Linked DNA regions of Xenopus tropicalis. The protein of the gene in region 2 interacts with the protein of the main gene of each other region in a biochemical or structural test. Links are inferred from orthologs where the notes say so. Each region holds a gene or a part of one and is shown on either strand. Other genes may lie near its edges.

Region 1 (3,835 bases), about 5.8 Mb from region 2:
CACTCTATTCTAACCCATAATTGGTTTATTATTAGTTTATTGTCAGGAACACCCTACTCTTTCTTCAGCATATACAGAGCTTTGTGTTATGGTCACAAAAAACTTTGTTGGCCAATAATAAAGGCAGAATCTTGCAGGTAGGAACTTTCTTGTGTAATTATTTTCATTTTGATTGGATAATTAAGTAGGTTTGGAATGTAAGGCTTTAAACAAAAATAATCAGTACTTATATTAAATATTAAAATAATATTTCATATTACATTACAATATAATTTTGTCTAATTAAAAAAATATAATTCTAAGCAACTTTCCAATATAAAATATATATGGGCTCTAAATAAAATATTTTTTGCCCAGGAAAAGTATATGGAGATTTCATATTGTGCTTACCGATGCTCCGTTTTTCAGCCATCTGATGCTAGGCTGTGGCTTGCCTTTAGCAACACAGGCCCAGTGCAAATCACTGCCTATATCTCTTTCTGTATCATTGATGTGTTCTACCCATTCTGGCACACCTAGAAACCGAGGCAATATATATTTTGAACATTATTCCAATCTATTAAGAACATACAACATTTAAAAACTGGAAATAAAGTCTTTTGTCTGTAAATTCAATGAACTTTTTGGTAACTTGAACCAAGGATGAAATTAAGCTCTACACTGTTAACATCCATTTTATATCTGATTTTACTGATTTTTCTGATTTCATTACTCATATAAATCTAAAGTATATTATTAATATAAATAGATCCCAAATGAGTGTGGGTAATTGAATTCTATGCAGTATAAAAGTTTAATTACATACTCATTTATCTTGGCTTATAGGCGGATCAGTGACTCTTAGTTTGAAAAAAAAAGAGTAATTTTACTCCTTCCTGGAAACAAGCCTCTTAACATTATTAATAAATTAATTTAATAATTTCCCTGTAGAAGGAGAGCTATCTGTCTTCAAAACTTGGGAACCTACAACATTCAGCATATGAATTTTTAAACAGCAATTTTACCAGCAATGTCTAGGGGAAAAAGTACAAACTACATCAACCACTATTTATTGGGCAACTTTGCAGAAATATATCATTTTGTAAAGTTCAAAATGCATGCAATGTATTAAGCCATCATGAGGCTGAAATAAAATGCCAGTATTACTATCAATTCCAAGACATAGAGGAATGCTATGGTTATGTAAAGCTGAACCCAATTCGTTTTTACACATGGCATACCTTCTACATATACATATGCTTTGTGTGTGTCCATCCCTTTAATGTTTTTAGCTTCACACTCATACGTTCCTTCATCTTCGGGCTGGATATTGAAAATCTTTAAGACAGCCCCAGACATGCTTATCTCAGCTGAAGCTGGCATTGCCTCATTTGTTTTTCTCCATGTGATTACAGGAATAGGACTAGAAGTAAAGGTGACAATATAAATACATATTTGTGAGACTGAGGGAAACATAAGACAGTGTGACCTTGAGAAAAAAAACTACTAAATAATCAGTTACAACAAATACAAGCAAGTTGCTTAAAATTAACATATTTCCATAACTGATCTTCATATTAATGATCTTAAGGCCAGCAACTCAAGTATTACAACATTTAAGGTATTGTTCTTATTCTGAATACACAACTGACACTACACAGCTACTATTAAGCAATTTAAATAACAAACTAAAAAAAACAAGATACTTGATAAAACAAAATCATCACAGATTTTCCTATGAATACAAGTCTTAAAATAACAAATACAATAGAGGTTAAATACAATAGAGGTTGCAAGCTGAAAAATAATAACATCAATATCTCACTAACAACCATTTTAATTTATTTTAAGGATTCAGTACATTCCTACTGAAGTTTATCTGTCAATGCCATACTTTCTACTTCCAGGAATCAGTATAAGATAGATAATGCCATTCTCCCACCCCTTCACCTTGCAGCACAAGCTATAGAAGTGTCAGCAATACAACTCACTATTATATACCTATGAAAGGCTATTGATACTCTATGATGCCCCAGAGTCCCAGACACTGAGGGCTGCTATGCCTTTACCAGCAGCCCTATCAAAACATTAAATAGTAGTTTATTGAGCAACCAGTCACAAAGAGACCTGTGCACATCTGCCGTAATGTCTTAAAATGTCACTTGATAGCCAGCCCCCAGTCTTCACTGAGCAACTCAACTGAGATCATAAAGGGCGAAACCTCTGCTGGTCTTATCTGCAGCCTATCATAGGGCAGTTTTCTTGGATTTAATTCCTTGCTATTAGAAAATAAGGATGGGTTGAATCTTTGTATTTGGCTATAATCTTGGTTACTGCCTAATGTATGGACTATGCTTGCATAGTCCATTTTTAAAGATGGGAAGGGCCATTTGTAATTTTTTTTTTCATTTTCTCTAAAACCATGAATGCCAGGTGATTTATTAAAAGTCTTTTAAAAACACAAATAAGTGTGAGAAAACCCCTGAAACCCTTAAAACCATGAAGCAAAGAAAGATCTTCCAGTTGTAAAAAAGGGCATCTACATAATCTCAATAGTTTTTAGATTTGTTGCAGTTTTGACGCATAATAAATGGCAAAAAAATTTTTTTTTTTTTATGAAAACAATGCCCCCCCATAGACAATAATCATTATTACTGAGTATTACTTACTTTCCCAAAGCAAAACACTCCAGTGTGACGTTTTGATCTTTCAAGGCACGAGTGTCTTTAAATTTGACATTAATAACAGGTGTATAACGTTTAGGTTTCTCTAATAAAACAAAATATCCCATTAGTAAATATTAAGGATGAAACACTGCAATTTTGTTCTGTTTATGAAACAATCATGAGTTTTTAATGTGCACTGAGAAAAAAATTAAGGAAATAGGAGTCTAAAATTACATTTAGGTATTATGGCAGGAGTATATATGCAAACATTTTAGTTTTCACTGGATGACAAAATTGAATATACAGGTATAGGACCCATTATCCAAAATGCTCGGGACCAAGGGTATTCCAGAAAAGGGGTATTTCTGTAATTTGGATCACCATACCTTAAGTCTACTAAAAAATCAATAAAACATTAATTAAACCCAATAGGATTGTTTTGTATCCAATAAGGATTATTTATATCTTAGTTGGGATAAATTACAAGGTACTGTTTTATTACTACAGAGAAAAAGGAAATCAGTTTTAAAATTCTCTATTATTTGATTAAAATGGAGTCTATGGGAGACGGGCTTTCCGTAATTCGGAGCTTTCTGGATAATGGGTTTCCGGATAAGGGATCCCATACCTGTACTAAGGAATTATTATTAGATTTTTAATTTACTAAAGAATTATTATATTAGAATAAAAACATTTTCACATATGTGACTGTACTGCTAAAAAAAACATTTTTTAGCATGTAATTATTAGCTATTCCAATATTTGTGCTATGTTAAATCATTGTACAGTGCAATTTCTGTCAATTATATATTTTAGTCAGATCTTTTATATATGTATATGACTATAGCCTGTAAGAGAAAAATATAAATTTTTTATGTCATTACCTTGGTGTGGAAGGTAATGAAATGTGCAGTTACAGTAAAGTATGTAACAGCACTTGATACCGTGTGTTGTTTGGATACCTCTATTTAGGTATAGTTTAAATGCAGTTCCTGCTACCCTGTCATAAAATTCTGCTGTTGTATTTTTTTTTACTGTTTGTGTGGTAACATAAGGACTATTACTCTTACTGTACCAGCAGATATTTGAACTGCCAATATTCTACTGCTCTAATAGACAGGAGGATCTTGACCTTCAGCTTCTGAGGCACAATTTCAAGGGTGCTCAAAAGCACCAAACATGTGTCCAAA
Region 2 (3,835 bases):
ATACAGGTGGATACATTAGAATACAGGCAGTTCTAAATCAACACAGAGTCCTATTACAGTGACTATACGGATTTCAATGAGGGTTTAATGAAAAGAATTAGTGTAAAAATGACATTAAAGCTGTGTTTGGCGTGTTTCAAATGAATATATTTAAATGTTTTCTCATTAAATATATTTTTCATTATGCAAACTCTGCAGTGTAGGTAAATGAACCTTTCACTATGGACCTTCAGTTCTTGGTATTTGATAAATAAAAATGTTTGTGTCATCTAGCCTTACCTCATCTAAACAAAATGAAATATTTAGTATTCATGACAGCAGCATATTAGCAATGGCTATTTAGTGTAAGTTAATATGATTAATCACAGAAACAGTAAAACAAGATAATGCAAGGGCTGTGCACAGCAACAATATGAAAATAATCATTTATATTCTTGACCGAATAGGAAAGTACTTGCCAGGCCCTCACAGCAAGAATAAAGTGAAAAGATTTTACAGTGTACATGGACACACTAAGGGGCACATTTACTAACCCACGAACGGGCCGAATGCGTCCGATTGCGTTTTTTTCGTAATGATCGGTATTTTGCGATTTTTTCGGAAATTATCGCGACTTTTTCGTTACCAATACGATTTGTGCGAAAAAACGCGAGTTTTTCGTAGCCATTCCGAAAGTTGCGCAAAATCTGGCGATTTTTTCGTAGCGTTAAAACTTGCGCGAAAAGTCACTATTTTTTCGTAGAGTTAAAACTTGCGCGAAACGTCGCGCCTTTTAAGTTTTAACGCTACGAAAAAGGCGCGACTTTTCGCGCAAGTTTTAACGCTACGAAAAAATCGGCAGATTTTGCGCAACTTTCGGAATGGCTACGAAAAACTCGCGTTTTTCCGCGCAAGTCGTAATGGCTATGAAAAACTCGCGTTTTTTCGCGCAAGTCGTATTGGTAACGAAAAAGTATCGATAATTTTCCGAAAAGTCGTAAAGGCGCCGAAAAAATCGCAAAAAATACGATTCGATTTCGAATTCGTGTCTTAGTAAATCAGCCCCTAAATGATTAACAAAATATTTTATTGTACCCGCTCATTGTGAGATTTAGGGGAAAACTTTCAGCATGACACTAAAACCTATCCAGGTTTGGCCATAGTTAGATTTTGAAAATAAACCCTTGTAGTAAATCCATATATAGTACTGATTATTGGCAGCTTTGTTCATCCATTTTGTTAAACCTGGCAGTCAAGGTGAGAAAGTCTATACAGTTTATGCATGTATAATTAACGCACTTATGTTACAAATGTTTTCTGCCTCCTTTACAGGATCATTCTGTATCTATATTTACTACATGCTGCTATGCATTTAATATACAAGTAGTTTGTCAATGGGACTCAGTGATGTAGATGAATTGGATCTGAATCCTACTTCTTACCTCGGTCTGCACCATGTACATCCGGTGAATTCGGAGGTCCCTAACAGCTCCAAATATATCCACTGAATCCACTGTATCAACTTGTTGAAGCATTCGGTCCAGTACAATGAATGTGCCAGTTCTGCCAACACCAGCACTGTAACAAATACACATTGTCATCCCATGTACTGCAAATATAAAATGTGTTTTTAAGGCTGCACCCATGCATGAACTACAATATGATGGAAACTAAGGTAAATAACTTTATTAAAAACAGTATGCCCAACTGTTGTTAAACTGACATCTCCTGGACCACATTTACGATAGTAAAACTGCAGCAATTTTTGCATTAATCAATTATGTTTAATATGCAATAATGTAAATGTAAAAATTAAGGATAAGAAACTAGTTCTGCTGTACCTGCAGTGCACCACAGTAGGGCCACTTCCAGGAGTTCTGTTAATATAGTCTCTGACTGTTCTTACAAACTGGATCAGTGATTGGGTGGTTTCTGGCACCCCATGATCTGGCCACACTGTATAGTGGAAATGACGGACTAGTCGTGGTGCATCAATTTGATCTTCCTGTAAATGAAAAAAAAACAGTGTTCTGTTTCTATAATGTGACATCTAGCCAGCAACATAGGACTGCAACACTTTATAAACAAAATACATTAAAATCAAACAATGAACATAATTTGAACATACAGTATTATTAGTTTTTTTACATTCTATAAAATTGCTACAACAAAAAAAAATTGAAAACATACCATACTAATACATTATGGACTATATTCCCTTTAATTAGACCCCAAAGAAGAACTAGAACCATCACCTCTTAAGACAGTATGTCTTCAATAAAGGGTGCTTAATAGCAAGCCAATCCATCCTCCATTAAAGCTTATAAAATGTGACAATTTAATAATTACCATGAGCCAAGAAGTGTATTTATTTATAAATCACTGTAATTTACACAGTGGGATGTAAAAAGTAAAAAAAACGACATATGATATTTAAGTAACTAAAGTCTGAATGGGCAACAAAAGACAATATAAAAAAAGAGACAGAGCTGTCAAATTAAAACTTTGCTCAGCTAATTCCTACCTAGTTTCTAGCTGTTCAAAAGGAAAGTGACAGGAAAGTGACAATAAACCAATTTTTGATGTGTTGTTACAGTTGTTAATGTTGTCTTACCAGTTCCCAGCATAATTTATTATTGCATTGCCAAGATTCTGTGTATATAGCAAGAAAAGGTTATGTTTGTTTCACTGCTGTAGGCTACGACTTCTATATAAGAAAGCTGGAGTGAGGGAGCTGGGAAGTGTGCTCCTAAAAATTCTGGAGTGCCATGAAATGCCACAATATAGCCACAACTCTGTCTTTTAGTGATTACTCTGCCCCTTTAAGCCCTAAAATATGTATTCTGACATTTAATTTTCCGAGGTATTGAAAGAGGCACACAACAGGATGATGAATTGCTACAACACAGAGAAGCTAAAAACGTACTGTATATACTTTTGCATTGATTTTAAGAGACTGATAAATGGCACTTGGTAGCAAAGGAAAATTCCACATGGTTTAAACTTTATAAGAAGAATTTCTTACACTGCAGATTTTAAATTCCCTTATTGTCCATTCAGGAAGCACAGATTCTGACAGCATTTGTACTATCAGGTCTCCGTAATAGTATGAGTCTTGGTCCATGGGCCAATAATGATCGCATTTTGCCTGTGAAGGGACACAGCAAAAATACAGAATGGATAATGGTGTTAGACAAGATAATGTTTCAATTCATTATGAATTCTTGTTATTGAATCATTTCAGAACTGCTTATAAAACACAAAGCTCTTTAGTTTTTTTTATTATTATTATTTACAAAGAAAAGAAATATGGTTTTGGCAGTAAATAAAAATGCAACCCCCTTGTTAAATATATCAACTGGAAAACAATGCCTATGTATTTTAACTGCACCCCCATTTCACTGCATCCAAAATACACTGTAATCAGATAAAAACATAATTGTTGCTTTCAAACCTTCTTCCTGCTCACCAGGGAAAAAAACCTGTATAAACCTGATGTTAAATAATGTTGACATAATCATCACAGATACCCTTATATATATATAATGATATATATAATTTTTAGAGAAAAATTGCAGTGGACAAAAACTTCACCAAGATCAACCTACAGCTCACCTTGAAAAGGATCCAACAATTCAAGATGCCAAATTTCTAATTGGAATGTCAACCAGGGTCTTTAGACAGTTGAAACATTTTTCCTGCTAAGTCATAAAAAATCCTGGCAACAAGGTGTAGTACAATGAAATGTACAATCCAGGTTTCTATTCTTTTTTTTGAGTTCTGCCCTTTATCATACCGACTTAGTATATATGTCACTTTTCCCAATGCAGCAAAACTTTATCCAGTGCAGTAATGC

What was found.
Region 1: the proteins of ptprb (region 2) and cntn1 form a complex in vitro, tested with the Homo sapiens proteins (2 studies listed by BioGRID). The link is inferred for Xenopus tropicalis from reciprocal best matches to the Homo sapiens genes PTPRB and CNTN1.

Annotation. Positions count from the first base shown.
Region 1 is NC_030679.2:65,256,829-65,260,663, forward strand, and holds part of cntn1 (contactin-1), read right to left. Parts: intron 2,749-3,835; coding exon 2,649-2,748; intron 1,403-2,648; coding exon 1,221-1,402; intron 516-1,220; coding exon 391-515; intron 1-390. UniProt on the Homo sapiens protein: Contactins mediate cell surface interactions during nervous system development.
Region 2 is NC_030679.2:59,463,800-59,467,634, forward strand, and holds part of ptprb (receptor-type tyrosine-protein phosphatase beta), read right to left. Parts: intron 3,128-3,835; coding exon 3,005-3,127; intron 1,985-3,004; coding exon 1,821-1,984; intron 1,558-1,820; coding exon 1,422-1,557; intron 1-1,421. UniProt on the Homo sapiens protein: Plays an important role in blood vessel remodeling and angiogenesis. Not necessary for the initial formation of blood vessels, but is essential for their maintenance and remodeling. Can induce dephosphorylation of TEK/TIE2, CDH5/VE-cadherin and KDR/VEGFR-2.